2 linked regions of the Coturnix japonica genome follow. The protein of the gene in region 2 purifies or fractionates together with the protein of the main gene of each other region. This does not show direct contact. Links are inferred from orthologs where the notes say so. Each region holds a gene or a part of one and is shown on either strand. Other genes may lie near its edges. The genes, in order: CDK7 and ERCC3.

Region 1 (16,399 bases), on a different chromosome or scaffold from region 2:
TAGGACATATACTGATTTCATTTTTCTTTCCGTGTTAATATTTCTTCCACTTGAATATACTATCTTTTAATTTCAGAATATTTTCATTGTGCTTTTGATGTATTTAGTAACAGTAAAAACAAGTTGAGTCAGTTGAGTATATTAATATATGTTAGGACACAACTAATTGTCAGTGGCTTATTTGCCACTCATCTAATTAACTGTACAATCTTGTTGTATTTCTTTACATTGTTTTTCAATCTGGGTTTCAGTACAGGAATCTCTACAAGCAAGTGTTCCGTCACCTCATGCTTCAAATGAAGCCTTTCAAAATATTTCACCTGCTAGTAGGGCACATGGTGCACCAGACACTTCTGAATTAGCAAGAATCTTACCTCAAAAATACAGAAGGAAACTTATGTCAGCTGAAGAGATTGAATATATTCAAGTAAGTCTCAGTAACTGTTGTGTGTTCTCTTATTTACCCAACCTTCTTTGTAGTTCTGCAGGTCCTTAAAAGTTGCACATGAGATAATAGATTGTAATTTTTGTTAAGAAGAGCTTTTGCAGTGTTGATACGCAGTACCAAAACAACAAATCCTTGATGAAGGAGGTTCACAGCTCTTACTAATTAGTAGCTTGTGTTGTCACTGTAGGATCCATATTTAAAGCAAAGGTAGAAAGGCAGTGATAGGTAGAGCCTACACTAAGCATATTCCCTTCTTGTTTTATAACCATTGTTTAGTGCATAATTTGAATATGGGAGCACAGAATGCTGTTCATGCTCTTGCCAGGTGACTGAAGTACAAAATTCATAAAAACTAGTTTGGAAACTGTTATGTAATAGGAAGTTAATTTTTGCACTTCTAACAGTTGGGAGCATTTTAGTTAAGCTTGATGCAAGTATTGCCTAAAATATTTGCAATTGCTGCATAACATGGGAAAGTCAAGGCAGAACTGCTTTTCTTCTGGAAGAGTTTTCAAATGAAAACATTTTTACTTAAAAAGGGAGAGTGCACAGAATTTGAAGAGCTAGACAGTAGCTTTCTTAAATGAGGACACTTAAAGGGTATAATGGTACTAGCGGAAATCTATATTTCAGCGTGCAAGTGGGTGACTATTTAAATTCAAAATAAAACAATCACTTTCCTGTAGTTACATACTTCTTTACCTCTGTTTTTGGTTTGTTGTTTGTTTGTTTTTAACCACAAGGCAAGTTGTTAAATAACTTTGTCAAAATAGTGAATTTCTGATTTCTCATAAAGATTATAGTGGGTTTCTTGGGCTTTGCTTTTACTTTGCCCCTTGGAATTTGGGCAGTAAAAAAAAAATCCAAAGCTACTACTACGGCTGTTTGTCTCATCTTTCCAGAGTCACTAAGTGTCATGTTTCTTCCAACTGAGAGGATAGGGAGCAGCTGCAAATATAGGTTGCAGAGGTTTTTATATTGTTTATATTATTCCATCAGGCACAATAAGCTATTAATGACAGGCAATGATTTTTCTGACATGTAGCATGTTCCATTACAGATTAAAAATCAAAGCGTAAAAATGAAGTTAAATCTAGGACTTGTTTATTAATCTATAACTGCAAAAGAAGACTGGATATCAATTTCCCTTTCTTTTAGAGGAAAATAGTTAACTCTGTCTATTTTTTGCTTTACAGCGTGGAGGTCCAGAATAAGTACGGAAGATATTTGCCACCAACAGATATCACCACTGTTGAAGAAAGAAGTATTGTGTTCATCATAAAAGCTTTTCCTTAATATTATAAATAATGGTATACTGATAGCTTTAATAAAAACCCTATGTGAAGGTGTAAAGGTTGACACAGCACTATTAATTGGTGATGAGAGATTTTCTGTTGATGACTAATAGCAAATGATGGCTACATCATTAGAGTATTTTTCTAACTAGCCATTCTATGAATTTGGCAGTAGAACAAATTGAGTTGCTTTATTTTCCTTGTTAACAGGTCTTTTCATGGCTGATTTCATGGGCAAGATAGACACACTCAGAGACTCCAGAATGGCTTGATTTGGATGGAACCTTAAAAACCATCTATTTCCAGCCCCATGCTGAGGGCAGGGCTGACACCCATTAGATTAGGCTGCCCATGGCTCCAGCTAGTCTGGCCTTGAATACATCCAGGGATGGGGGCATTTACACCTTCTTCAGACAAACTCTTCCAGTTCTTTGACTCCTTCCAACCCCCAACACGAGTTGATAGTTTTCCCCTACCATCTGATCTGAATATCGCCTCTTTTAGTTTAGAACCATTTCTCTGTGTCCTGTCATCATCAGACTATATAAAAAGTCCTACGATGTCCTGTTTATAATAAGCTGCTTTTAAATAAGTTAATTCTCCTGAAGTTCAGGATCCCCACTCTGCTTTTTGTCAGGCCCCCGTTCCTCATGATCACAGACTCAGCCAGGACATGGTTTAACCTCCTTAATGAGCTCTGTGGGGCAGCTGCCCGCTCCGGAGCTAATCACACACAGCCATCAGGGCACGAGCAGCATCGCACAGCGTGTGCCGGGCCGCAGCCCTCCTAGTACCCGCCTCCGAGCTGACGGCATCAGGCTGCGCGCTCATGGTGCAGGTAGGCGGGTCTGGAGGCGGGCGCCGATAAAGGGCCGTGCTGCTCTTCCGTTGTGCCTCGTTCTCCGGCCTTAGGGCTGTGCTGCTTTTCCCAGCTGGCAGCCATGGATGCGCGGGCTCGTGCTAAGCGCTATGAGAAACTAGACTTCTTAGGGGAGGGACAGGTGAGCGGCCGGTGGGTGCGGTGTGGCCGCCGGGGCCCTCTGAGGGGCGGCTGGGTGCGGGAGGGAGCGTGGCTGGCCGGGCCGATCGCCCTCCCGCTCACCCACCGTAGTGACTCTGGCTCTGGGCTGTGGGCTGCCCTGCCGCCGTGGTCACGCGTCTCTTTCTCTCTCTCCCTTTAGTTTGCTACTGTGTATAAGGCAAAGGACAAGAACACGGGTCAGATCGTTGCTATCAAAAAGGTGAGTGTTGGAACACCCCGCTGTGGTGTCACTGGGAGCCTTGTCCTGCACGGTGCTTCTGTTGAACTGCTGTCGTGTGTAGTGTGTGAGAATTCACAGGATTGGTACATTGGAAAAGAAGATCATGTAGTCCATGGGTATCCAGCCTTAATGTCCTGTGCTACGCTGGGAGAGGTGGAATTGTGCTGGACTGAAAACAGTGCCTCCATTTTACTTCTGTGGAAACTATAGCAGATAGAGCACACTCTAAGTTACCAAGAACTATTTTTCAGCATAGACACCACCGTTAATTAGACATTTTCACTAGCAATGAGCTAAAGCCTGCGTGCTGTGTTGCCATAAATCTGTATGAGTGGGGATGACTTGCTGTTGCTGTCACCTGAGCTGAAATTCATCACCTGCTCCCTCACTTTGCTCACACTTACTGTTTGATCTCCATAAATGTTCAGCAAGCTTCTATGAATGTTATTAGGTGCCATTTTTCTGCATGGAGAAATTCAGCAACACACTTTTGCTTCCTCTGTGCATCCATGTCAGATGTCGTTTTGTCAGAGTACCCCCCGCTGCCCTTTTGTCAGATAACAACACCATGTAATGGGAAGGTTCAGCCTCTTACTGCCATGCTAGCATCCGCCTCTGACATCATAGACCACTAACATAGGAGGCATTACTTGCAGAGCAGCCCTTGTAAGATATTCAGAATTGTTAATGTATTTTAATGAACTTATTTTAATCTTTTTTTTTTTAATTAAACAACTAAACTGTTGGGGATTGTGACTTGACCTTATATAATATGAGGCACTTATTTTCAGATTAAACTGGGACATCGATCAGAAGCTAAAGATGGTAAGTGTTAAAACAAGTTCATGCTGTATAAGCTGTCTTTGTTTGTTTTGCTTCTGCTGATTGGGTGATTGATTCCTTCCCAACCTAGAGGGACAGAAAAAATAACATCCGAAATACAGCATTCTCATACTGTATGTTTAACTGTGCGTATATGACTGTTTAGGTGGAACCCAATCACAAGTATAGCATGGAATAATGATATTGGCTTGCATACTTTTTTTTCTGAATATAAAAAATATGTCCACATGAAAGCGGACGTTGTCTCTTTTTTTTTTCTAAAGAAGGAATTAAAATAGGCAGAGTATCAACTAAGCCATCAAGATCTTTGCATCTAAATCTTCGCTGGAATCTTATATGTTGAATGAAACCACCATGGAAATAACACTGTTTTTCAGCTCATGCGTAGGCAAAACATCTTGCACAACATAATGCAGTAGTGTTTGCTTGCCAGTAAGCCAAAGGGATGTGTATTTTCCTTCATAATCTATATCTTCTAGTTGTTATTCATACCTTGCCTGCAGCAGTCTATGTATTTGTGACAGTCTGCTTGGCTTTAACAAATACATGAGTGCTGAGGAAAAGGACTGTAATATTAAGTAATCAATGAACAACAGAATAAGAGGTTTCTTTGCTGGAGTTTAACTTGAAATTATTAATTATATTCTGTTTAATTATTTTTTTCAATATAGGAATCAACAGAACAGCGCTGAGAGAAATAAAATTGTTACAGGAACTAAGCCACCCGAATGTTATTGGTGTAAGTACAGTGAATTTTTGCTGCAGAGACTGGCTTCAGAGAAGGTAAAACTGCACTGGGAAAGGGATCTGGAACAAGGGATCTGAAGTAAAAAAGGCTGCGCTTGTACTGGGGAGCTGCCAGCTTGTGGGTTGGCTCCTGAGTCAGCAAGGGTGGAGCTGGCACATTAGCGGCACAGTTTAAACTCTAGTCCTTATTGTTTGCACCTGATAACAAGCTTAAAGTATCCTAGGGTGAGCTACCAGGTGAGTAACCATTGTTGCTGCCCACTGAGAATGGGGAGGTTCAGTGAGTGAGCACAGCCCACACTGCCCATACAGTGCTGTGGATGTGGATCAAGTGGTGATGAATGTAAATGTTGTCAGTCTGTGCTCAGGAGACTAGCTTTCCTCTTGGAAAGTCTCTGGGACTGCAGGCCTAAACATGTTCTCTATCAGAAAGCAGGTTTATTCCAGAAAGATTTTGGCAACCCAGACAGAGGGCCTGCCCAGAAATGTAGCTGTTCTCTGGCTGCAGGGAGTGCCTGAGCCTGCTGCTGCCTGGGGAGGGTGGCAGGGATTCCACCTGTGTGAGGTGTGAGCAGGTGGATTAGGGTTCCTCTTGATGATGAGGTCTAGGCAGTGAGTAGCCCTGTGCCTGTTTGTCTCTGCCAGTAAATTGAAAATGCACATGCAAACTAAAGTAGAATGGAATTTTAGGAAACGGGAATTATGAGAGTGTCATTCATCATAGCACATTTTGTTTTACAGCTGTTAGATGCATTTGGACACAAATCTAATATTAGCTTAGTATTTGATTTTATGGAAACGGACCTTGAGGTAAGTCAAATTAAGATAATTTCAATAAATTTCAATATCTTCAAATACATTTTGAAAATGCATTTTGAAAAATATATTTTCATAGCCTTACTGTTACTGTGTGTTTTTTATTTCTTTTTTAGAAAGTTGTCTCATTCTTTCATTATGTAATTTAAGATCATACCTTTAAAAGAGTTGGAATAGTGAGACAGTATTTTCAATTGAAAATGCCTTTAAAGTACTTTCTGTCAGCACCTTTATCAAGAAACGGATTATGTTTACTATATTAGTTTTCTAGGGCTTCAGTCAGAGCATAGAACCACTGATCATAAGCCAGGATCTCAGAATGCAATTGCTAAGCACAGTAACGTAAAACATGCTCAAGTAAGTGTGATATTATTCAAGTATGCCGAGTAATTATCTGACTAGAAGTCACATACTCCTGAACCCTTCTTTTAAATTTGACAGTGGCGTGTGCTTGCAGGCCTGAATCTTAAGGATGTTTCATTAGCTTGTCTGTTGCCAGTACCTTTTTATTGAATACTTTAGTGCAGATTCTTCATTTTGGAGCACTGCTGAGAAGACGTTTTGGGTGACTGTCGTGTCAAATCTGTACATGCTCACATTATCTGTGCTCTGGAAGAAATTAACCCATTATACATGTATATGTAGCTACAAATTCCAGCTTTATCCTAAAGTATAAACTGACTTTTGAGTTGAATAATTTTGTGTTATAAGTTTTTGTGCTTACCAGTCTACCCATATCAATCTAACACTTGCAGGTTATTATCAAGGATACTAGTATTGTATTAACACAGTCTCACATCAAAGCGTATATGCTGATGACACTTCAAGGGTTAGAGTATTTACATCAACAGTGGATTCTGCACAGGGTAAGCATGCTCTAAATGCCCTTATTCCTATAACAAATATCACTTTTGATTGAATTAGTCTGAAAACTGGCTTTCATTGGTTTAGAATGCATAGGGTTGCTCTAGCAGTTGAGTAGTGGCAATTGCAACACTAGAAATGTTAAGAATTACTGACATCTATTGTGTAGATGCTTATAGGTGTAAATCATTCCATAAGTAGTGCTTTCTATTAATTGCCATGGAAACTACAATACAAAAAGCACAATAGCTCTATATGGCAGGACAAACTCTTAGCTACAAAACAGTGTCAGCACCGTTTTCATCAGCAATGAGCAAGAGCCTACATACCACATTCATAAAAACCTGCTCCAGCAGACATCACCCACTGTCTCTACTGGTGAAACACACCACCCTTCTCTTCACTGTGTTCACATCCAGTGTTTGGCCTCCATAAACATTCAGCAAGTATCAGTGAGAATATTCATTTTCTTTCCACACGGAAGGATTCAGTTCACAGTCTCAAGTGAGACTTTTGGTTAGAATTGTGATCTAGTCGGGCTTAGATGAAGTTAACTTTCTACACAGGAGTTTGCATGATGCTCTGTTTTGAATTTGTAGCTTAAAACAATGGCATTTTTCAATCTGTTGAACTCTGCTTGCGCATTGTCAAGCCTTTTTCCACTCTGCCTCTAACCCAACAAAATCTGCTTAGAGTGGGCCAGAAATTGGGAAGGGATGCAGCACGTGGGGCAGCTGACCCAGGTGGCCCCGAAAAATGCTGCCAGTGGTACAACAGTGTAAAATAATAATAATGATAATTAACAATGCTGGGATATAAGTAAATTTTGTCTTCCACCTGGGTGTGAGGAGTTGGCAGTGCAAGCAATGGTTACGTGCCTGCTGGCTGTGGCCAACCCACAACACTGTTGCTGTATTGAACTATACCAATCCCATGACATCTCCAGCTGTCATTAAAATTAGGGATTATATTATTCTTTTTTTTTAACAGTGCAGTAAGACAGAACTAATGTTCCTGCAGCAAAGCAAACACCTACCATAAATTTGTGTTTTTGAACTCTGGAAATTAAATAGCTTAATATTCAAATTGAGATGTATGATTAGTTTTTATTTTCGTTTATGTGGAAATGATGTCTTGTTTGTTTTCTTCATCACAGCATAAAAAATCAAAATATACTCAGAAGAGTAGGTTTTAGAATACTGTTACTGTACTCTTGCTGAAATGTTCGCTGTATGTCTGTTTTTATTAACAATGACAGGATTCCTTCTTTGCTTTCTGCCCTGACAGGATCTTAAACCAAATAATTTGTTGTTAGATGAAAATGGTGTTTTGAAATTAGCTGACTTTGGCTTGGCAAAGTCTTTTGGAAGCCCAAACAGAGTTTACACACACCAAGTAGTAACAAGGTAAGACATTTCTTAGATTGATGGTAACTATTACATGTTACCTTGTGGAATACGCCATGTTAAAACAACATGTTTAAAGTTTGATTTCTAGCTCAAGTGCTATGATTATAGTGGCAAAAAGTTTCATAACAGAAAGCATAATAAAGTGCTTTTTAATATAGTCTCTCTAAGAATGGTTGGAATTTATGTCCCTGATGGTTGTTCTGTGAAATGATATGGTTTTGAAGCACATGAAATTAACATGTATTTACCTATAAATCTAGCTTTCAGAGAGACAGAGTAGATAAGGTTTCCTTTGTCTACTGTAGTGCTGAAACTATACGGTGGAACTATTTAACATCTTCATTCAATTAAAAGGCATCAGTGAAACTGTTGTTTGAAATGCAGTGTATGTTTTGCCGACAGCTTCAAATAATTGCTGCCAGGATGTATTTTGCACAAAATTAATCTATAAGTCTGTTGCTAGTAATGTTTTTGAAAGCTGAAAGGAATTGTGTCTTAAAGTAACATTTATTAAAGATAAATAATAATAAAAATACACTTAATTTTTTTTTTTTGTAATTACTGCACTGCTGCAGCATGCAGCACTTGACATCAAGTGATACCAGGATGTTTTCCTAAAATATTTTTTCTGTTCAGGTGGTACCGATCTCCAGAACTGCTCTTTGGATCTAGAATGTATGGAGTTGGTGTCGATATGTGGGCTGTTGGTTGTATTCTAGCTGAGTTGCTTCTCAGGGTAAGTCTTCAAATGTAAGAATTTTTATTTTTTCTTCAGTGCGTCTTAGTTGTAGGTTTCTTCTGCCCTGCAGTACTGTCACCAATAAAAAGTTAAGCTACTTTCTTGGAGGTAATGAAAGGGAGCAGGGAGGGAACACCTCCCAGAAGTTTGCTACCTGTAAGGAAACAAAATTTTTCACATAAGCTGAGATTCCAAAATCATTACAATTAATGGAAACTTTAAAGAACAGGTAGGCGAAAAAGTACAACACAGTGTCACAGCTCTGCCTTGGGGAAGGTGATTAAAGAGTTACTCTTCCAGTCCTCTTGGTGTTTGCCTTTCACGCAGCCATTCATCAGTTTTCATTTATGATATTTCTAGAAAATCTGGCAGAGTAGGTGTGCATGTACATTCTTATTTTTCATAAATTGTTTCCCAATAATTGGGAATAATTACCACCAGTACATCAACTGTGGATTTATTTGTAATGAGCTGAAAATTTTCTGTTGTTGTTGTAAAATGTGTCTAGTTCACAGGCTGGAGTGAAGCTGAAGATGGTCAAGATTACATAATATCACTCCTACATAAGATACACAGATGTAATCATCCATAAATAGGCTTTATAGGAGTAAGCAGTCTGTTACGTAGCTCTTCTGAAAACATGAAAGTAGGAAATGAAGGTGGGGGGTGCACCAGTAGTGCATGCATAAACATAGATTAGACCACAGGTGTCCAACCTTTTGGCTTGCCTGGGCCATGTTGAGTGAACAGGGATAATCTTGGGCTGCATATGTGGAATGCTACAGAAGTGATGACTCCTGTTTATTTCCATGGAAACAACAACTAATACAAATAGCACAATAATTGTTTGGTAGAGCAAAATCTTAGCTATAAAACAGTGTTTTCCAGTGTAGTCACCGCTATTAGCTGTGCTTTTTTCCCAGTGTTGAACATGAGCCTGCATGCCATGCTTATAGAAATCTGTTCCTGTGGAGGTAATCACTGTTCCACAGCTGTTGTGATGGCATCATTGCTGAGATGCACCATCCACCCTCCTCACTGTGTTCGCATCTGCTGTTTGGTCTCCATAAATGTTTGGCAAGTGTTGATGGATGTCAGTGCATGCTGTTTTTTTTCCCATGTGGAGTGTGTTGCAGCTCTTGCTTCATCTGTGTTTGTGTCAGATGCCATTTTGTCATAGTACCCCTCTGCTGCTGTCTGTCACACAGCAACGTGTAATGAAATACTGGTGGGAAGGTTCAGCCTCTACTGTCATACCATCATCATCTGCCTCTGACTTTGTGGGCCAACATAACAAAATAAAAGGCATTACTTTTGGAGCAGCCCTCATGAAATATATAGTTAATGCATATGAGTAACAAAACTTATTTTATTATTTAATATTCCTTATTAAAACCTAAAAAGAGCAACAACAACATTGACCTAGTGAAACATTTGTCTTTGCCTTTGTGCATTAGCCTAGTCTGATAGCAGTGGTTGCAATTCTTAGTGAGTTGCCTTGGAGTTGATCAGAAATTGTTATGAAATGTTACTCCTTCTGTGCCTCATCCTTGAAAACAGTTGTTCACAAGTATATATGTACTGCCAAAAAGCAAGGGTGTGTTAATGAGGTGTGATTGTGAGGTGAGGAGATAATTCTCTCTGGTAAAATGGGGTTTATTGAGGTACGACAGAGATATAGTCACATTTTTCATTCAAGTTGAATACATAATGCAATTATGAGGAGCGACTCTTAAGTTACTTTCTAGAATTAAGTGTAGAATTTATTTAAATGAGTAATGCTGTTTCCTTCTTCCAGGTTCCTTTTTTGCCTGGAGACTCTGATCTTGACCAGCTGACAAGGATTTTTGAAACACTGGGCACTCCAACAGAAGAACAGTGGCCTGTGAGTCTTTCTGTTTAACACCCTGACTTCAATTTTACTTGATGCAATATTTATTTTTGCTTTTGAAATTAAATTAAAGAATACGTCAGAATATTTGAGTAAAATCTAAAATACAGCTGCCTCTCTCACAGTGGAAGAGGATAAGCAACTGAGATTTTTACCTCAGCAAATCTAATCATTACAACAGTACTGTTAGCATCAAGCAGCAGTTAAGAGACATCTTAATTTCCTTTCATGGTCCACAGTTTCGTATGACTATTGGTATGAAATTGATATTGATTGCTTAATGTTCTTGAGATGCTTGATATATTCATATTTTAACCTGGGAGGCTTTAATTGCTTTCAGAATTGGGAGCAATTTACTGGACCTTAAATTGGGCTGTCCTGGTTTTTGGTTTGGGATCCAGTAAAAGACAGAATAACAGTTCTGAGGGGAAATGTTTTCGCAGAGTAACTCTGTGGTAATACACAGCAATCAGTGTCTGTCCCCCACATGGACCCTTTTATTTATTTTTTTTGTTAATGATTGGCACTACTAGCTTTCAGTGGCACCAGAGTCACCAGATCAGGCTGTCAGAGCCACATCCAGCCTGGCCTTGAGTGCTTGCAGGCATGGGGCATCCACAACCTCCTTGGGTAACCTGTTCCAGTGTGTCACCACCCTCTGGGTTAAAAACTTCCTAATGCCTAACCTAAATCTCCCCTGTCTTAGTTTAAAACCGTTTCCCCTTGTTCTATCACTATCCGCCATTCCTGTTTATATGTACACTTCAACTACTGGAAGACCACAGTGAGATCTCCCCGGAGCCTTCTCTTCTCCAGGCTAAACAATCCCAGTTCCCTCAACCTTTCCTCATAGAAGACATGCCCCAGCTCTCTGATTATCTTAGTGTCCCTCCTCTGGACCCGCTCCATGAGCTCCACATCCTTCCTGTACTGTGGGCCTCAGGCCTGGACACAGAATTCTGGATGGGGCCTCACAAGAGCTGAGTAGAGGGGGACAATCACCTCCTTCTCCCTGCTGGTCACCCCAGAACACAGTTGGTCTTCTGGGCTGCAGGCTTACACTGCTGGCTAATGTCCAGCTTCTCATCCACCAGGGCCTCCAAGTCCTTCTTCATGGGGCAGCTCTAAAGGAGTTTTTTCAGGAGTCTGTATAAATACCTGGGATTGCCCCAACCCAAGTGCAGCACCCTGCACTTGGCCTTATTGAACCTCATTAGGTTTTCATGGGCCCACTTCTGCAGCCTTTCCAGGTCCCTCTGGATGGCTTCCCTTCTCTCCAGTGTATCAACTGCACCACTCAGCTTGGTGTTGTCTGCAGACTTGCTAGAGATTCCATCATCTGTGTCATTAATGAAAGTGTTGAAGAGCACCAGTCCCAAGACCGACCCCTGCGGGATCAGTGGTTATTATATTGTACAGCTGTTCCTCCTGTATGCCAGTTCTCCTTTGTATGAATGGTGTTCGGATGCTCTCTCAGCTCTGTGGTCACCAAATTGATCTATAGCCACATGAAAAAATTTGTGTAAAGCAATACTAGCCTAGCATTTCTGTTATGCTAAGATTCTAAAGGAAAGGTGCAAAGATTTTTGCAGTGATTTTTTCCTTGTTCTTGGGAGGTGAGAAAAGAAGACAGGCAATTCATTAGCACAACAGAGATAATGCATTCCCAAATTTGTTTCCAAACCTCTATTTTTCAAGTATTGAAATCCTTACTGTCAAAGTTGTAACTGATTGCACACATACAGCGTTAATGTTATGTTTAGCTTGAATAAATTTAATGAATGTATTTACTGAAATATGTTGATTTTAAAGTTTTAAAATACTGACATCTAGGTAATTGTCTGTAACTGGTTTGGTTTTATGATGAAATTTGAACACAAGGGGTTGGGTTTTTTGTACTTAAGGGAGGAAAAATGCCGTTCATCTTTTGTTCAACTGGTTTTACCTTCCTTCCCTGTAGTCCACAAACAGAACATGTGTCTCAAAAAGTAGCTCAAAATGCTAATGGTGGATGACAAACTCGGTAGAGGACAGTATCTTGCCAGGAGGAAATGCACACTTTGAATCTCCTCTCTTCTGCCAATTGCTAGTTTTACTTTGTCTGTGTTCACTGTAAAGTTCCTATATGCTTCCTTTGTTTCCTGTTGTACTACTCACTACTGAAGCAAGAGTATGAAAGATTACTTGGTAATGGATACTGTGTCAGTTCTTTTCTTAGAGTAATTTCTGTGACCTGTTATTCCTATGCTCTGTGACCAGATATTAACAGGGTGTCCTGAAGAATGGTTAGCTTCTGCTGTGGATACAGCTGAGGACACCAAGCTGAGTGGTGCAGTCGATACGGTGGAGGGAACAGATGCCATTCAGAGGGACCTTGACAGGCTGGAAAGCTGGGCTCAGGTGAACCTAATGAGGCAAAGTGTAAGGTTTTGCACTTGGGCCGGAAGAACCCCAGGCACCTGTACAGGCTGGGAGGAGTTGTCCTTGAGAGCAGCTCGGCTGAAAAAGACCTAGGGGTCCTGATAGATGAGAAACTTAACATGAGCCATCAGTGCGCTCTGGCAGCCCGGAAAGCAAATGGGATCCTGGGCTCCATCAGGAGAGGGGTGGTCAGCAGGGATAGGGAGGTGATCGTCCCTCTCTACTCTGCTCTTGTGAGGCCCCATCTGGAGTACTGTGTCCAGGTGTGGAGCCCTCAGTACAAAAAAGATAAGGAGATTTTGGAAAGGGTCCAGAGGAGGGACACGAAGATGATCAGGGGGCTGGAGCACCTCCCCTATGAGGACAGGCTGAGGGAGTTGGGTTTGTTCAGCCTGGAGAAGAGAAGGTTGCGGGGTGACCTCATTGCAGCCTTTCAATACCTGAAGGGAACTTACTCCCAGGAGGGGAGTAAACTCTTCGAAAGGGCTGATAATAGCAGGACTAGGGGAAATGGTTTTAAGTTGAAGGAGGGAAGATTTAGGTTGGATGTTAGGGGAAAGTTCTTTACTAGAAGGGTGGTTAGGTCCTGGAACAGGCTGCCCAGTGAGGTTGTGGATGCCCCGTCCTTGGAGGTGTTCAAGACCAGGTTGGATGGGGCCCTGGGCAACCTGATCTAGTAAATGTGTATGTTTGGTGGCCCTGCCAGGCAGGGGGGTTGGAACTACATGATCCTTGAGGTCCCTTCCAACCCGGGTAATTCTGTGATTCTGTGATATGAAGTTCTGTTTCTGTGAGATGCTAAGCTCTTTCAATCTTGAAAAATAGATATCCCTTTCTTATCTTTGTAGGGAATGGCAAATCTTCCAGATTACATCACTTTTAAGCCTTTCCCTGGAACGCCTCTTCAACATATCTTCAGTGCAGCTGGTGATGATTTACTTAGTCTTCTACAAGGGTTATTTACATTTAATCCTTGTTCTAGAATTACAGCCACTCAGGTATAGTACACTTGTTTGTGTCCTAGTGTTCATGAATGTACTCTAAATATCACATAAATGCGTTTTGAAGCTAAGAAGCCAGGTTTGAAATGAAATGTCATATAGTTCTGTCTGTTAACTGTATACAGTAAACATATCTCCCACGTTTTATACAGAGAACTTTGGAATAATGCTCTCTGATAATCCCCATTCCCAACTGTGTAGCCAAGGTAGACAACTAAAAAGCATATAAGCCAGACTATCATATTCAATATTCAAAATTCAGTTACAAAGCTTGCAACATAAATCATAACATAGAATGTTTTATTCCCTGCTTTTAAAATATTTTCATCCTTAATTCATTCAATCTCCATTTAATTTAAACTTTTCTGGTTCTCTTTTAAAATGTACATCTGGTGATTTTAGCCATCATCATGATCTGTACTTCATTTTCCATTTTACTTGAGTAAGATTGATCTCAGTTCTGATGCTTATACTAATCACTTTTTTTTTTCTTGTTTTTTTTTTGTTTTCTGTGATTATGAAGGCACTGAAACAGAAGTATTTCAGTAATCGCCCAGGACCCACTCCAGGAAATCTGCTACCCAGACCCAACTGTGCTGTGGAAGCTGTAAAGGAGCAGCAACATGCACTTTTGAATTTAAAAAGGAAACGAGGAGAGGGAATGGATCAAGGTAAATTATTAATGTTTCACCTGTTTTAAAATGGGAACTCAGAGGGAAAGCTGTACTTTCAGTATTTCAGAACGTAAAAACTCTTTGAATGGATAATATCCCTGGGCACTAGGACCATCTGGAGCCCTTTAGGATTTATGTTTTAGGATAAACACTTGAAGGTGAGGATGGTTTAATAGTGATCTAACAGAATTGGTACCAGAAAGGCTCTTTTACTATGTGTAGTGATCTGTTAATTAGAAGAAATCTCTTAATGCCATTAATTTAATGAGGTGTGGCATCATCTACTAAGTTAGAGGCTATCAGACTTCTTGTTTCTCAAGCAAACAAGAAAATTCTTAGTGAGTTAATCAACTTCATATAACTTTTTTTTTTTTTTAAAGGGAGAACTAAGAAAGAAATATGGTATTTCTTTTAGGTGATAGATTAGAGAATGTAAATCAGATTTAGAGAGATTGCTGCTATCTCCCTTGGACTAAGTAAGCTGTTATGACCACACTGGGCAAGGAAGATCTCCATACATTACAGTGATCCTTTTAAGAAGCAAGCCTATCCCCTAACGTGTATTTCCATATGGAACCTCCAGTTTTCCTCAAACAGTAGCATATACTTCATACCTTCATAGCCAGAAAAGCTGTGTGGACTTGACAGCTGTATCTGACACTAAACTAGTCAGCCCTTCTAGCAGAGAGGCAAACAGTTTTAAAGCTTGGAATTTGTCATCTTGGCAGCAGGAATTTGCTAGATAATAGCAATTAGGTTAGGTTAATGGTTAGACAGTAGGTTAATACCAGTTTTGTTTTTACCAGGATGAGGCTGTTTCAATACAAGAGTGTGGTATCTTGCTGGAACGGAGATGCTTCCATGAAAATGCATTTCCTCGTGAGCTCAGATGGACAACTAAATTTTTACAGTTCATCTTACTGTTTAAGCACTTAAACCCACTGTGTCTTAAACTCTGTCAAATTACAAGTAAAATGCATTAGTTTGTTGGCTTAATTTTTCTTTGAAATTAGAATCTTTAATCTGTTAACTATTTGCATGCTCTTTGCTGACCTCAGTACCATGGGTCAGCTGCCATGTGGGAACTTGTCAAGTACCATGGGTAATTAATTAAAGTCATTAGTTGAAGCTCTTTATCTCTTGCAACACCATGTGTCTGCAATTAGCATTTTGAGGTCCGTGTCCCTAGAATGTACCAATTAGCCAAAGAACAGAAAAGATGAAGAACTGTTCGAGTTTTGCTATTTAACTGTTTGAAATCTTGCATTTGTCAATAAGCAGAGTTTCCAGAGCCGTATCAGAACCACAACATTAATTGCTGTAATGTCTTCACAAAAGTCTGCTCTTCAACAAGGGGAAATCAGACTTCTGTCTTAGACTTTGGACAAGGCTAGGACTTCAGAGTTTCAAAATAAATAAAGCACTTAAGAATTCAGCATTACTTTTTGAGATATTTTACTGTCAGTATGTTTCATTTGCTTCAAGTGCTTGTTGAAGCACCTCAGAAAATTATGTTCTGTTGCTGACAGAGAAGGGATGTATCAAAAGGGTAGATCTTGCAGTCCCAAACAAGGTAGCAAGAGAGAAGAGCCAGTGTTAGTGCTTGCAGAACTACTATCCTGGATTTCATCTGACATCCTTATGTGGCACAGTAATCTAAAGTTAAGATGAAGTTAAAGCGAATATTGGAAGAACAGCTCCATAGTCTTTTTTATAAATAGAATTAGAAGCACAGCATCTTTATTGCTGTTGAGGGTGGAAATGTGCAAAAGTCGTTTCAAAGTAATTTCAAAGTAATGCTTGTGTCTTGCACAGCATCTTTCTCAGCTCTGTTGAGACGGCACTCCAGAAACTGAATAGCCTAAATTGGGAAGCGGTGGGTACCCTTTTATAAAATCTTGTCATCAGAGGCTGGCTGCTAAGACTGCACTGAAGCCATCCCCATGAAGTGCTGCTTTTTCACAAGGGAAAAACACTGTAGGCTTGGGG
Region 2 (16,399 bases):
CAGAGCTGAAATGCTGTTGGAAACTAGAACACCAATGTCACTGTGTCCTTATAGTCCTGTAAGTCATTCTAATGAACAGCAGTACTCTTCAAGCATTAATCCTTTCACAGACACTTGCTGACTTGCTGTGGGGATGAACACAAACATGAATTTCAGTACTGTAGACTGCCAGAACCACAAAGAGAATAACAATTCCATGAAGAAGTTAGAAAGTGCAAGTTTTCTCAGTAAGGAATTCAGCCGAGCTAAGGAGGTGACCAGGAATAGAGTATCCTGAATTATGTCCAAAGAAATTGCACTTCTATTCACGACTTCCAAGAAGCAACACACTTACCCTAAAGTTCACCTGCTTCTGCCACCGCTCAGTCTGAAAACACTTTTGCTATACAAATTCATGTTATTTTTGCCTCTCACTTAACGAGAATTCAGGATATCATCAAGCTGTATCATTTGCAGGTGTCAACGGTTTATCAGGATCCAGAACTGCATTGCACTTTGTTGGCTGCTGCTAAACAATGCAGTGTTACACCAGAATACTCCTACAGGGATACAGGCAGCATCTCGGAAAGGTACGTACTCAGAAGTGTAATGGCAGAAAAAAAGGGTTTCCTTCACATACTTCCTCAGGACAAGCTCAGAGATCTCAGACATTTTGTTTCTGCAGTTTGTGTAACAAGCAATCTCACAATCCATCTGCACAATAAAAGCACTGGCCAGCAAGCATCTGATAAAGAACGTGAGCGCCTGACTGCAACTTTAGAGAGCTAGGGCCCAGATTCTTGGGATTCAGGCCACAAGGCAGTGAGAGCCCACCACACACTGTGCAGTTACTGTGACACATCGTGCTTGCAGCCTCCCATACTGCTTCAAATAGATACCTGTGCGACAAAACTCAGTGCTGAGTTCCGTAGCTGAACAAGATAGCTTCATTTCCTACAAAATGGCACTGCAGACTAATTCTGGATCAGCATGTTGTGCCCGTTGCATTTGGAGTCATGCTTTAGAGAATTGTTAATGCATGCCGTTGGTGAGGAACAAGTAGTTTTTCTTAGCAACAGATTCCTGTCTGGAAGGCAGAATTGAGTGAGTATATTACAGCGTAGATACAAGACAGCAACTGTTCTATACTAACAGCACATCTGTTTGCCACCTGCAGCCACAATCATCTGTATGGAATAACTACTGCAGTAATTCTATCAAATTACTGATCTAAACTGAACACCAACACGCCATTACTGGAACATGGATTCTTACCTCTTACAATTATTTTTCTTTGCATAATGTTGGAAGTACTGCATCCCACATAGACCATTATTTAGAGTAAGATCACTAGACATCACAGCCAAGATTTGCAGAATACCGCATCACTGTTCTAACCATTAACTGCTACAATATTAAATTGAAGGGTTTTGTTTGTTTTTCATGAGTGCTCTTTACCAGAAGTTTCTCCTACCTCTCCACACATTTTCTAGAACGTTACTGTATTTACTTCCTTCATGCATCTGCCTCCTAGTCACTGGCAAGTCAAAACACTCTTTGATCCAACAGTAACTTCTACAGTGACACTGCACTGTTTAGCAGTTATGGTTTTATTATGTAACTAATAAACAGAACATAAAGAACAAGGGAAACAGCTTTTATTTCAGAAACATCTCAACAGTAGCAACAAAAATAAGGGAAATGGAGCACAGTTTATTTGTACTTACGAACGCTTTCCTCTAGTTTACTTTCTCTTCATCCTGAAACTTTGAAATATTTCAGCCAATTTGGTAGGATTTTAAAACAAGTTAAGTCATGGTTATCAACTAGCCCCAGTTGAAAAACATTATGTAAAGTGCTCCTAACAAGACTCAATAACTTTTGTTTAAGCAATTTAAACATCAGTGTTTTGCTAAGTAGACAGTAATCAGATAAATATTTCTAACATCAGTACAAAGCTCATATACAAAACCTTTCCAGAATTCACCTGAAAAAGTGTCTTCAGCCAATAAAAATAAGATCTGTTCACGCTGAAAACCAGACAGGTACAGCCAGGATCCAGTCACTGGATAATATATATCTCCATGATGAGATTTAGTTCTTCTTTCACATTCAATCACAAGAACATAAATGTTGCTAAACAAAAACGTGGCTATACGGATGCACACAAAGATGCCTTTTAGAGGACCTGCCATATTTTTAGTTGTGGAAAGATGTACATAGATGGACAGTTCTTATAGAACGCACACATGAAGGACATCACTTCCTGAAACGCTTAAATAGCGGGTGGATGTGCTTATTTGAAGACGCCTTACTCCGAGATGAGTGATATTCCATATAAACTGCATCATCTGCTCCTGACATCGAGCTCATTGTGCCTGTACGACGTGACATCTGTAAATATGGAGAGAAAAAACATATGCTTACAGTGTATGATTAGACAGCTCAGCTCTCACCTACAGACCTTCAGACCAAAAAGCCTTCAAAGCTGGTATTTATTTTCCTTAAAGGAGAATTTCTACTAAGAAAGTAACTGCCTATCAATGTAAAGTGGCCTTTTAGTTTCTGCCCTTTGGGTATGTGGAAATCAGTGAATTAATTAGTCAAGTGCTAACACAACTTAAAAAAAGATACGTTTTCCAGTATTTTACAAAGACACTACGGCATCAGTGGTGGCCTCACATTCAGAATTCAAGTGGAATGGTTCTATTCTACTGCAGTTACGGTCTTTCTTTTCAAAGTATTTTTCATTACCTGAACTGACTTTGAACCATATTCTCCAGCAACAACCTCCTCCTCAGCATCTAGGTCAGATGCCTGTAGTACTTTCTGAAGAAGTTGCTGCTGTTCTTCTTTGGTTGAAAATGAAAGTTCTTCTTCTTCCATGCCTGCAAGCTTTGTTATTACCTAAGAAACAGAGCACAGTAAAAGGCAGGGTTTTTGAGCTGTTGTTACTTATGGTGCACGTGCAAATGTATCCTCCACCCCACAATCTGCTGTTACATTCTGTCTGGAAATGCAGTATCTCTAGACAAAGAACGCACGCCAAACACTGTCATTCCATACCAGCTTGACCAGGAACCTTACTGGAAGGCTGACTTTACGCTTTAACTTCAGGTTTTGTTCAGTGTAAGAACTAGTCCTTTATATAGTATAAAGTATAATCATGCAAAAGTACTTTGTATTTCATAAAAATAATCAATTAGCTTTGCAGACACCAAGAATTTTAACATACACATTTAGGAATATTCACAATTAATTGTTAAGAGACTGCACAACAACCTGCAACAAATGGTCAGCAGCATCACTGTTGTCAGTGGCAATTTCTAAATTGAAAAAAATGTATTTCTCTAAGAAATATGCAGTTTCAAGAATCTATTCAGAGAAGCAACTTGTCCTATTACATGAACAAATGAATTCTATGATTCCTCTTGTTGCTTATGAAGTACATGTGCTATGATCACCTCAAAAACGAAATGGAACCCAGGAAGAACTGCATTAGCATGTAGTTGTTCGCAGTTGTTGCAAAACAGTGCCAGTGTATTTCATAAAACAGAAAGAATTTCCACTGCATCGCAATTTTTTTAAGCTGTTGAACAGATGCCAAGTTTAAAGTCATCAGATTCTTTGACACAATAAGTTCTTCTCCAGTTGGTTTAAAATTCAATATATCCTGCATTCAATCTCAAAAAACCAATACAGTGCAGTAACTAAACTTTGGTTAGCAAACCAAACAATGCCTAAATAACTGAGGCTCCAAGCAGCAAGTAGTACCGACAAGGCTGTATAAAAGAAACAAAGACAAAACATGTGATGTAGCAACCAATTATCCTAATTCCCTTTTGCTGAAAGGCAGAGAAATGAGCGACTGATAGATGAAAAGAAGGAAGTCCTAGAAGAAAAATGCAAACTTTTACCTTTTTAAGAGAGTACCAATTTTTTAGTAGTATTAGGCATCAGGAATAAAAATTCTAAAGGAAAAGATAACAGCACTGAAATAATTGCCTAGAGATGAAGTAGAGTCACAAAGGCAAACATCTGCCGGGAATGACATACACAGTTGATTCTGGCTTGTAATGAAGAAACATTAGATGGTTTCTTCAAGTTTCTTCCAACCCTATTATTGTTCAATGCCAGCTATGACTAAAGCTTAAAGTTCAGCAAACAGAAGAAAACAGACAATCTAACATTTTGTTACTAATCTTCAAACAAAGAACGTTCCAGTACTGGGCAGCTAAAAATTCTGCCCCAGACACTCAGCTGCCATTTGCACTACTTTTATTCCCTTGAAGTCCAAACTCCTAGGACTAAGTCTTCCTTGCAAAATAAAACTCTTCTATTTTAACCTCTTACTTAGTTCTACAATCCGAGACTTACACTCAAACAAAAGCATAAGGATTTCTCTTTCATGGCTATAGCCACATAGACTCATCTGTTGTAATCACCTGCAGCTGACTGATCTACAGTTTTGTCAAGGTACATTCACTACAAAGCAAAATGAGGCTTTTACTTGCAAAGCCAATGACATGTCTGTTCTGATGCAAAGACCTCTTCAACTGGGCCACTGATAACAGAGCAGTTTAGTTCAGAGTACCTGCAGTTCATACAGGTTTTATCTCAGAGATGCCTCAAAATGTACGTATGCCTCTAATGATCTTCAACATCTACGTTCAAGTGCAGTCTAGTACAGGCTGCTTGCTCTTTCCCCTTGTGCAATTTGTGGTGTGACGCATGGCCATCTGGATCATCGTTTGTCTTTCACGTCACTGTCACCACTGCTGAAACACACCACCCACCACCTCACTGTGCTCACATCCACTGTTTGGTCTCCATAAGTGCTCAGCAAGCTTCAGTGAACGTCAGTGGGTGCCATTTTTTCTGCATGGAGGAATTCAATTCCACACCTTTGCTTTGTATGCACTTCCATGTCAAATACCATTTTGTCAGACTGCCCCTCTGCTGCCATCTGTCGCACAGCAACAACATGCAATGTTGTTAAACAATACTGGTGGGAAGATTCAGCCTTTACTGCCACACCACCAACACCCACCTCTGATGTTGTGGGCCAACATGATAAAATAGGAGGCATTACTTTTGGATCTGCACTCATAGAATACTCACTTTCCTAAAAGTTGCATTAAACTACTTGTATCTACCCTCACAGTAATACAGTTAACAGAATAATGCTGGAAAAATTTTTGCCTCCAAGCAAAACCTTCATCGATACATTTCACAACTGTAATTCTTAAGTATCTCACATAGCCATAAAATGAAAGAATTAAAGTTATATCCATGGGCCACAGTTTCATCATGAGAAGGGACAAATTACCTTGAAGCTATAGCCTTGATCCACGAGAAACCGTTGTCGCTTTGTTGAATATGCCATTTCCTGCGTGTCTTGGGATACGAGAGAATAAAAAAAGGCATTGTATTCCTCTGCAACCATGCCTAGGAGACAAAGCCACCACACAGTTAGTTCCATTTACATCACCACAACAAAGAAAAGAGGACTAAGTTGTAAAAATAGGTGTTCAAATAAGAATTATCTCCACAAAGTCAATCTGTAAAGTGTATCTTAAATACAATCTGCATCCAAACCTTACGTAAACACAGTGACAAAGCACAGCACATTGAAATTCCTACTCTTGTTCATAATAACTTGAGCATAGGAGATGGAAAAGGAAATTGAGACTAACCCAGTCATCTGGCACCCTGAGAAGAACCTGCTACTTAACCAGGCAAAACAAATTACAAGAAAAAATCATGTACGTAACAGTTTGCACACAAATGGTAAGAAGTCAAGGACAAAGATGGTAATAGATGTCAAAAAAATCAAACAGAAATAACCCAAAGTTAGTAATCTTTCTGCATTAAAACGAGGATAAAAGGATAAACCAGCCTGTGCATTTAATTTTCTTTAACAACAAAAAACAACAAGGAAATAAACCAATCAAACAAATAGGCCCACCAACCTTATAGTTATTTGATCTACTCTCGAATAGCACTGTGTTCTCTTGCAAAACCCAAGGTCTCACTAACTGTTCATTCACTAACACAGGCTTTGTAGGCATTTTCAAACAAAACTTCAGCCACAAGAAGTATAAACTGCACAGAAAATAAGCTTTGCTGTTTAAAACGGCCTTTGCTGAACTACATCAAGACAGAACCATAGAGTGTGCTTTGGTAGGAAGAAAATTACAGATAACAGCAGCAATTCTCCTCTGTATGAGCACAATAGAGAGAGACTTTCCATCACATGAAAACAGGTGGGAGAAAGGGAACCCCAAATTCTGCTTTCATCAGTCATTTTCCCAACAGCCAAATGCAGAACTGAAGCACTGTAAATTTATTCTCCACCTGACAGTTATCAATAATTTCCTCTGAAATATGACCACTTCCTAGGGAATACTCGTTCTATCTAAACTAAGTGCCAACAGGCTGCAACATAAACCGATTTATATGCTTTATTCTAACATGGTTTATACAAATTCACAAGTTTAGAGGAAAAAAATAAAAGGAACAGCAAATGCTTCTACTAATGCTATGCTGATTTGATACAAGCTGATCGTAAGTTCTTAAAATAGAAAGGGGCGAAAAATGCTACTTTGGCATAGTAAACCACTGTAACAGGAGGGGAAATAAAATGCAAGGAAGTATTTAAGAAAGAATTCAGTTCTGGTTAAAAAAAAGTGGAGAAAGGAAATAAGAGATGCTGCAAGTGAAAGATAAAATGGCATCCATATTACAACAGAAAAGGAAACCCAACAACTACCTTCTTACTCATGATACTGAAGTTTATTCAGTCTATGTTTCAGTATCCTAAACAGTTGAGTAATTATCTGAATGCCGTACTGTATTCCAAAGAGCAGAGCCCAACAACTACCTCACCTTTTTTGGCTCTCAGTACTCGCCCCAGTCTTTGAGCCTCCTGTCTTCGAGATCCGCCGTGGGATGAAATCTGGATCAGAACATTGGCTTCAGGTAGATCAAAGGATGTGTCACCCACCTGCAAAACAGAAGCGGTGTCTGAGCAGCATCTTATTTCCATGCATCACCAACAACAGCTTTGTACAAAGGACACCTTTATTAGTTGCAATAATAGAATCACAGTATTATCAAGGTTGGAAAAGACCTAGAAGATCATCTAGTCCAAATAAATAAAACGTCAAATGCCCAATGTGTGTGTATAGCATGTTCTTAGATAAGGTTCACTCTGAAGATGAGTACAATAACACACCGCATCCTCACCTTTGAAATGAAAATGGTGTTGATTTTTGGATTGTGCTTGAAGTTTTGTAGAATTTGCATTCTTTCTCCTTGTGCGGTAGGACCATATATGTATGGTCTGGAAAAAACAGAACACATGCAAATTAAACCTATTTACAGTGTCTCATTTATTAACAGGTACTAAGATATCATGGCAGGGAGCTCATTACGTGGTGATTTAAACATATTAATAGCTCGAATGGAAAAAACAGCATGAGCTACGTGACTCTGGATGGCAGACTCAGGACAGAGTAAAAACTGGCTTAATAAATTTGAGTTCTGAGGCCTCAAAAGTTAAAGTCAAAATAATTCCTGTCACGTGCATGTTCCGTTCCCTGCTAGTACCAAGGGAACGGGATGGGGTAGAGTAGGAGCTGGTGCAGCAGCAGTCACCAGGCAATGCCAGTTTCCCTGCACTGGTGAGCCCACCAGCCCCACATGTTTGAACCAGGCAGTGGAACCAACGACCAGCACAGCCAGGCAGACACAACCTGGGCTACTACTGCAGCATCCAACAACCAATAATTCCTGCCACACCCAAACTAGCAGTTCCCTTTTTATGCCCAAAGCCAACTTTGAGCATGTCCATGGCAAACTACGGTTAGAGAGCTTTTCTGTTATGATGTTCTCTTTCATCTAGCACTGCAACTCCTCTTTCTATCTCTTACAGCTGTATAAACTGGAGATCCATACAAATCACGTGGGAAGGAGAACCGAGTCAAGAATGTGAAAGGCAAGCACCTAATATTTCTTTAGACAGTTCTCCTGCTGTACTTCTGCAGCATTTCCCATACTTACAAACCGTTAGGTTACTTTGCGAGCACCCTTTCAGGCGTGTGCCTTTATTAAAGGCTCTTGCTCTGCGGAGCACTGCACACTGCGAGCAACATTCCAGAGGCATCATTACAGCTAATCTCTGTCCAGACAGATTTAAAACATGATGAAAGAGACCACGGGTGTTGGAATTCATCCAGAACTACCAGCTCTGCTGTGAGATGCACACTAAGCCACAACAACGTGGCCATTAAACTAGAGTGAAAAGCAATCACTAATTTCGGAAAGCGCAGAAAGATTTGTTAGCAGTTGTGCTGAGTACTGTCAAAATTCAATAGATGTGAAATCATACAGTCAAAATGCCCCGCAGCTTCCAGTAATCAACACATCATTTGAGCTTGTCGCAGAAAGCACAAGGCCAGCTCCTATGCTTATTTTCCCCAAGGAGCTGCTGTATGACTTGATCCTCACAAACATTCTCCCTGGTCATCCCTTCCCAAGCCACTCAAACACATTGAGGTTTAACCCCTCAGTCAACTCTAGTCACAATAATTGTATAGACATTTAGGGCAGACGATCCTGAAAGATCCCCAGTGCACATCTGAAAAGATTCCTGACAGAGAGACAGGAGAAGCTACAGTCCATTATAGAAATAGCTCTGAAAAGATTTCTAAAGGCTCCCTAGTTTTGCCAAGTGGCTTTCAGTAATAAATCAATAAATGGAGAAAGTCAGATGAAAACCCCTCTGAGCCAAGTGCTAAACAGAGATTCTTTTCAAACAGTTCTACAGTGGAATTAATGTTCCAGTGCCTATAAAATCCATTCAAAGAGTAGTTTCCTGAGCTCCTCTCATGTGAGAATTGTAGTTGAAGTATTACAACTAATGTCTAGAGGTTACTAAGATCTGTAAGATCACAAGTTGATTTTCCAGGAAGGAGGAAAGCAACAGCATCATCGTTAGCACTGAACACTTACTTCCCAAGTCTGATGGCGTACTCCTTCAGTGCAAACACATTGTCAGCAAAAACAATGATTTTATCATTCCGTCTCTCGTGAAACTTAATCAGGAACTGGCAAGCTCGAAACTTATTTGGGTTCATGGTGTACAGCAGTATCCGCTTCTTTGTTTTGATGGCTACGTATTCTCTGTAAAATTCAGGTGACATTGGGCACCAAACCTAGAATTAGACAATTTACACAGAGTAAATCCCAGTTATCCACTTAATTCCACTGGAAATTAAATCTATATTAAAAAATTAAAGCTATAAGCATGTTAAATATACACCAGTAGTACTGAAAAGCAGAACATCACCTCAGCACATTGGACTTTAGCAATGTAGCCACTGTTCTGCAGCTCCATCCAGTTGGCCTCATAGAGCTTTGGTCCAATCAGGAAGTTCAGATCAACAATTTTATCATCTTCTCTGACCAGGGTGGCAGTCAGTCCCAGCTTACAATGAGCTTGTACAATAGTGAGCACACGTCTGAACATTTTTGCTGAGAAACACAAGACACACTTTCTGTTTACTTTCCCGAACGGGTTTAGAATACAAGCACTGCAATCTTACAAGTTAAAAAAATCAATCATTAACTCCTAAACACAAAGCAAGAATGGTCTTAGGAATTATCACCCCATTTTACATACACTTCTAACAGTATTCTGTGTCACGGCAAAACTTCACATTGATGTCAGCTTTAGTTTGCACCTTTAATGTACTCTAAAAAACCCTTTTGCATTTGTATTACTTCCTGCTTCCCAAGAAGAAAAGTAATAGAGAGAGACTTATCTTAGCCATGTTGTATTTCATCAAAAGATGCTAACACAAGAACTCTTGGCTGACTTTGCCACATTCAGGACTAATATTAATTTCTAACATTTATCTTTTGTATTGTTTCAAATCCTGTTACCTTAATTTTTATGAAATGAATAAAAGTGAAAGAGCTGCACCAGCAACGTGCTGCTTGGTTCATCAAAGTCTACCCCAGAAATCCATCATTTCCAGTAGAGACCAAATTATATTCAAGTTAAAACATGACAGCAGCAAAGAAGAGCTGGGTGGTACACACTGCCAGGATAACTGCACAGACACTCTAATAGCACATCACTGCTTCCAATAGTCTGCAACTACAACAGCTATTTCTGGACAGTTACTACTACTGTTATTCAAATTTAATGGAATAGAAATAGACAGTAACACCTAAGCCTACAGTGCAATTGCATCTCAAAACCAAAGATGGCATATTAACTCCTGTACGTACATACAGTACATACAGCATGAGGGTCTGCACACCATTTACTTACCAGGAATAGTGTGCACTTCATCGAGTATCATAAGGCCCCACTCTCGACTTTTAAGCCACTCCATTACTCTCTCTGCTTCCCAGGATCTTTTAGTCGTGTGTCCCAACATGGAATACGTGCTGATAGCAATAGAGCAGTCAATGGGCTTATCTTTGGCATCAGAGGTGAACCGACAGATCTGACTGTCATCAATGGTGGACCACATCTTGAACTGTGCTTTCCACTGCTCTACAGACACTGCAGAGTTACCAAGGACCAGACACCTCTTGCGGACAGTGCACGCTGCTGTCACTCCAACTAGAGACTTGCCAGCACCTGTGGAAGGAGCAATATTCATTATGGGTATCATTGGAATAGAAAGAAAAAGAGTGAAGGACAACAGTTGTGTGAGGGAATATGAAATCACACTGGATTGCCCACCACGTGCTGTTGTCTTAAGAAAATCATCACAAACGCTGCTTTTGCCAGTTTGAAGCAATCAGACTGTTTTCTTCATTTCAAATATGGGATAAATTCCAGGTGGCTACAGAACGCTTCTACTAGAGGCCATCCCCCATACAGCCCCTGCAAGCAGTGTACGTTATACCACGTAGCAAGTCCTTATGTCTTCCCATTCCTGCTTCAAATTTCCTCCATCATCCCTTACACACTCTTTGAGGCCTTCCTCGTATCTCCTGCACTGCCACAAGCAGTCTCCCATTCTCTCCCTCCTTAAATGCTTCCCATGGGTTGTCTCAACCTTCTTGCTTGCACCCCCAGTTCCTCCACCTCCCCGTTTTCACCCAAGGATGAAATGATTCCAGCGCCAGCAGTTCTACATCTCACTGGAAGATCAGCAGAGCTGACTAGGAGGGCACAAAGAAAAACGTTAATGGTGATCTATCACAGCTATTAAGGAACTCTTCAGCCACTAGAGAAACAAAACACCCTCACCGCTCTCATCACCCACTTGCTAAAAGCCATCAGGATTTGGCATACTTGTACCCAGATCAGTCCCTATTACAGTTCGAAGCCCAAGCAGCTGTCAGATTTAAAAGTTACATTATTGCAGGCAAGTAAAGAACAAAATCTCTAAGGAAGAAAACCCTTAAAAAAAATAATCAATGCAGTAATTTACCACATGGCAAGACAATAACACCAGATCTGGCTCGTCCATTTCCAAACATCTTCCTCAGGCTTTTCTCTTGATAGGGTCTGAGGACAGCTGTAGGTTTCAGATCTATATTAATATCAGGATTCACAGAATCATTTCTGAAATCATATTCTGCCAGCAAGGGGTACTCCAAATGGATACAACGCTTCTGAAGTTCTTCAATCATCTCCTGAGGAGGAGACAAAGCTTCAGCTGCTAAATTCTCCACATCTGAATTATTACATCATTTAACAATTACTGATTACGCAGTGCTACATGAAGTCACGTTTAATTTCACGCTCATTAAGTCTGCATGAGTTGAAGTTGGTTTCAATAACTTTGTGACGACCCACCTGCTCCAACATTTGAAACAACAGCCCGTACTACAGAGAGCTATTTTGACAGATGGAAGTGTGAGACACATTCATCTGAAATGTGTTTCTCATCTGGCAGTGACTGAACTACACTCTGAAGCCCTGCAACAAAAAAAAGCTCAATAACAAACACAATAAGTCCCGTGTGCTGCATGGAAAGCCCTGCCAAAGCAGCACACCTGTAATAGGGAAGAACTTCATACCCTGACAGTGCAGTTACTCCACAATGACAGGTTGATTCAGTCACCAGAAGTTGTTTCCAGTTCTCAAGTACTTCTTTGGTTATGATAAAAGTTCTCCTTTCATTACTTCTGTCTTCCCCAGAAAAGCATCATTAGAATCACCATGCAGCAACAAGACAGGCCTTACAAAATTCCTCTGAGGGCCAAGTCAGGACTGTGCTCTGACCTCCGGCTTCTCAAGCTGGGAAAACAGAGCCACCAAGAGCTTCCTCTGTAAGTATCAATTGTGAGGAAGAAAAGCTCTGAAACTAACAGCAGATTTACTCTCCACTGAATCCTCATCAGCCCTGCACAAAGCAGCATCAAGCCGAGCACAAACAGAACCTCCCTGAGCTTCTGGAACCTCTCTAACTTGTGAATGACTGCACTCTGTGGGCAGAGAAAAGAACGTTCTGCAATCTGCTCACTCTGTACCGGGAAGGAATATCCCAAGACTTTGGAAGGCAAAAGGAAAGAAACATTATTGGCTTCCAGTGACCTCTTACGTTAAACAAGGAACCACTAGATATTATCTCTTACACCTATTAGAGTCCAGGGCACATCCCCTAAAGCTACACACGCTAAGAAACAAAGGTGTTCATGCCTGCTTGACTTCAAAAGACACTGTCTGTGTTTCTTCCTCCTCCTCCTCATCTTTGTCCATCTGCTCATAAAACTCATATAAATCAGCTGGGACATCCGGCTTGTTTTGAACATCTGCTTCTTGTGACGTGGATGGACCAAAGCCACTTTCACTGGACTTGGAAATCTGAAAAAGACAGAAAAGACCAAAAGATTCGCTAGAGATGCTCCCCAGGACACTCATTGAAGTGGGGTTCATTAACAGGGCTGACAGGAATGAAAACAACTGCTGACATAACTAACGCACAATAATGATTCCAAGCTACCGAGCAGCTTATCTCATATGAATTCCATCCTTTTAAGACACGCCGCACGTACCGCTGATTTACTTGTGAATGTCTCTGTAATGAGCTCCGTTTCTTCACCTTCGGCATTTCTCAGGCGACAGTCTTTAATAACGTGGTCTTGCAGAAGCTGCTGGATGACATCAGGATGGGTACTTTCCACAAAATACCTACAAGAAAAGGACAAAAACTCCACATCTCTACGAACTAATTGATACAATAACTTACAGAAAAAAGCAGTACGTGCTTAAATCTACAGCCCAGAAGCACTCAAATGTAACAATCTTCCCTCCTTCAACTTAGAACCTTTCCCCCTTGTCCTTCCACTATCTACCCATGCAAAAAGTTGATTTATCTTCTGCTTATAAACTCCTTTTAAACACTGGAAGGCTGTAATGAGCTCTCCCCGCAGCCTTCTCTCCTCCTGACTAAAAAAGCCCAGCTCCTTCAGCCTGTCTTTGGAAGAGAGGTGCTCCAGGCTCCCCAGGGAGGTGCTTGAATCGCCATCCCTGGTTGTGTTTAAGAGCCGTCTAGATGTGGTACTTAGGGATATGATTTAGTGTAGGGTTTTTAGAGTTAGGGTACTGGTTAGGCTGCAGTTGGACTTGATGATCTTCAAGGTCTTTTCCAACCTAGGTAATTCTATGATGGATATCTTTGTTGCCCTGCTCTGGACCCTCTTCAAAAGCTTGATGTCATCCCTGTGTTGGGACTCCAGACCTGGATGTTATGCTTCAGATGGAGCCTTACAAGGACAATCGGCCCCCTCACCCCGCTGGTCACCCTTGATCCATGCAGCCCTTTCTCTTGCAGCCCTGGATATCACTGTCCTTCCAGGCAGCAAACACACGCTGCTGGCTCACGTTATGTTTTTCATCTGCCAGGACCCTGACGTTCTTCTCAGCAGGGCTACTCTCAAGGGTTCTTGGCAGATCTCTTCATTCACACCAACTATGCCAAAAGCAGCTTTTACCTGTTGCGTTTCAGCACCAGCTTCACCTTCCCATAGCTGACCGTACAGAGCTGCAAAAAGACAGCAGCAGTCATTAGGAATAGAACACACCAACATTTATGGAGCTACATACAGCAGAGAAAGGGAAAACGTAAGATAAAAGTCTCTGCTCTCTTATAACAGAATACAGTAAGGTGGTAAAACATTGAGCAAAAGAAAATGTATATAAAACAGCAGTAATGCAGATAGAGCAGAGCGTCAGATGGTGTTACATCAATGCAGACTGACCTTGATGAACTGGATGATCCCCTCTGGCACGCCGGTCTTGCTGAGTTTCTGCAGGTACTCGGTGATGTCGCTGGTCTGCAGGCCCACACTGACGGCAGCGTACAGGGAGTATGCGGTCAGCTTGTACTCGTGGATGTGGGTCGGTCTGCACACGGGCTCAGCAATGGCAACTAGAAAATCCTGGGCGTATTTGTAAACAGGAGAAAAGGCTTCCAGGAAGATATGGCCGTCAGGAGCCTACAGCGACACAACGAGACGCCAGATGAGGATTCTCCTACAAGGTTGTGCTGGGGGCTCCCGTGTTTAGGTGGGGACGTATCACTGTGTTGCGTTCCGCCCCCGCCCCGCACGTACCACCCAGAGCGGCCGCGAGGCGCTGTCAGCCTTGAGCGGCATCTGCAGCCGATAGTCCTTAGCGCCGTACTCGTCCAGCTTAGCGCCGCTGTCCTCCACCTGCTTCCCCGCCGCCGAGGGCACGGCCTCCTGCGAGTCCTTCCCGGGAGCCTCATCCTCCTCCTCCTCGTCGTCCTCGTGGTGCCGCTTCTTGCCCTTCTTCTTGTCTATAGCACACCGCGCCGTTACACGCCCGCTCTCCGCCCGCCGCCCCCCTCCAACCCCTCTCCTCCCGGCCCCGCTTACCCCGCTCCTTCCTGCCCATGGCGGCCGACGGAAACCTCGGCGTCACATCCGCACTAAGGCGGGGAGAGAATAAGGCGGGGAGTGGTAATAAAGACAGAAGGCGGAGCGTGTTGTCCCTACAGCGTGTTTAATTGATCGCTACGTACAACTCGTGTCCGGTTCGGAAATACAAATACATCTTCGAATGGTTTAAAAACGAAAAACTTAAAAAAATATTCTGAACATCAGCCAGCTGAAAATATATTTATCGTCTAAATCATCTCTCAGAGCTTCATAGAGTTCATTACCAGAACGAAACTGCGCGCCCTTAGAAAACAAGGCCGTCGACATGTAGAAATGAAACTGTGGAGTAAGATCAAGATACAGACATAGGGATACAGACATACATAGGGATACATACACACACACAGTTACAGGGCAGGGTTCTGACCCTTATAAGACCAGCTGCCCACCCCAGGCACACACATCCCTCCTTTAAGCTCCTGGTTTGACACCCAATTGCACCAGCAACACCATTATTAACAGCAACACCTCCCAACCCCACACACCCAGCAGTAGTACATTGCACACACACACACACACGGTTCACACACACCCATCGCCAACCGCTCAGTGTAGTAAATCAGTACAAATTAAATAGCTCCAAAAATGTGCAAAAAAGTCAACGCTGATAGAAAAAAACACCTTGGTGTTACATACGTTTTACAAACTGTGCCCGGCATTCAACTGAGTAAAAACATTTACAGTGAGAAACCGATAGATTAAATAGAGGATTTAATGGCTACGTAAAAATGTACAAGAGGAATATACAAATTGGTATCCAGAGCTTCATGGAAACAAAGTCTACGCTCCGACTGCTCTACGGCTCCTCGAGTATTTACAGTGATTCTCCATCGTGTGGCTGTGGGGGGCTGAGGTGACAGGCGAGGCTTCAAGGAACCACCACATCCAAGCACTGAACCCAGGCTGTGAGCTGGGATGGATGGGAAACCAGCACTGGGGACTGACAGCCTAACGCCTGCTCAGCAACATAAAGATAACCCTCGTTTTTAAACCCATGTGAGATAAGCTTTGAGGAAGAGGATGGGCTGTAAGGAAGGGACATGGAAACCTCTGATGTGTTTCCACTTTGGAGTGAAGTATCCTTGTATGTTCCCACAGCGGGCCCTGACCTGCAGCCCTCGTCACTGGACTCAGAGTAAGGACTGAACCATGAGATACAATTTCCATGTGTTTTAATCCAGTTCCTCTCCCCTTAACATAAAGTAAGTTCACAAAAACCTAAAGGTTTAGCCCAAGCGAGGCTGCCAGCACTGCACCTTCAGAGCACACACACGTACCCACTGATAGACTCAACCCACACAGGGGACCCCGTGCAGCCCCAGAGCTGCACCTCGCACAGCCCGGCTCCTCAGTGCTAAAAAGAGAGAGGAGTTCCTTTGTTTCTGACCAAGAGTATTGATCTGGAAGCCAGCTTGGTGGCAGTTCTGCCCCCACGTGGCTGTGGGTGACACCTGGCTCTCATGTCAGGCTGCTTCTCAGCAGC

The links.
Region 1: the proteins of ERCC3 (region 2) and CDK7 purify together in Homo sapiens (affinity purification with mass spectrometry; 15 studies listed by BioGRID and IntAct, counting the BioPlex papers as one, with this or other methods). This does not show direct contact. The link is inferred for Coturnix japonica from reciprocal best matches to the Homo sapiens genes ERCC3 and CDK7.

What each region holds. Positions count from the first base shown.
Region 1 is NC_029547.1:13,166,176-13,182,574, reverse strand, and holds the start of CDK7 (cyclin-dependent kinase 7), read left to right. Parts: upstream 1-2,587; 5' UTR 2,588-2,684; coding exon 2,685-2,744; intron 2,745-2,924; coding exon 2,925-2,984; intron 2,985-3,796; coding exon 3,797-3,830; intron 3,831-4,519; coding exon 4,520-4,587; intron 4,588-5,336; coding exon 5,337-5,405; intron 5,406-6,166; coding exon 6,167-6,277; intron 6,278-7,562; coding exon 7,563-7,681; intron 7,682-8,320; coding exon 8,321-8,420; intron 8,421-10,221; coding exon 10,222-10,308; intron 10,309-13,583; coding exon 13,584-13,733; intron 13,734-14,259; coding exon 14,260-14,407; intron 14,408-15,216; coding exon of another isoform or gene 15,217-15,221; exon of another isoform or gene 15,222-15,848; intron 15,849-16,225; coding exon 16,226-16,266; 3' UTR 16,267-16,399. Other genes in the region: MRPS36 (28S ribosomal protein S36, mitochondrial), read left to right, coding at 252-427, 1,645-1,662. UniProt on the Homo sapiens protein: Serine/threonine kinase involved in cell cycle control and in RNA polymerase II-mediated RNA transcription. Cyclin-dependent kinases (CDKs) are activated by the binding to a cyclin and mediate the progression through the cell cycle.
Region 2 is NC_029522.1:23,159,396-23,175,794, forward strand, and holds ERCC3 (general transcription and DNA repair factor IIH helicase subunit XPB), read right to left. Parts: upstream 14,948-16,399; 5' UTR 14,873-14,947; coding exon 14,854-14,872; intron 14,775-14,853; coding exon 14,569-14,774; intron 14,452-14,568; coding exon 14,215-14,451; intron 13,998-14,214; coding exon 13,948-13,997; intron 13,145-13,947; coding exon 13,009-13,144; intron 12,818-13,008; coding exon 12,653-12,817; intron 11,644-12,652; coding exon 11,439-11,643; intron 10,637-11,438; coding exon 10,322-10,636; intron 9,974-10,321; exon of another isoform or gene 9,517-9,973; coding exon 9,332-9,516; exon of another isoform or gene 9,198-9,331; coding exon 8,995-9,197; exon of another isoform or gene 7,916-8,994; intron 7,325-7,915; coding exon 7,228-7,324; intron 6,986-7,227; coding exon 6,868-6,985; intron 5,428-6,867; coding exon 5,309-5,427; intron 2,887-5,308; coding exon 2,734-2,886; intron 2,374-2,733; coding exon 2,239-2,373; 3' UTR 1,621-2,238; downstream 1-1,620. UniProt on the Homo sapiens protein: ATP-dependent 3'-5' DNA helicase/translocase. Binds dsDNA rather than ssDNA, unzipping it in a translocase rather than classical helicase activity. Component of the general transcription and DNA repair factor IIH (TFIIH) core complex.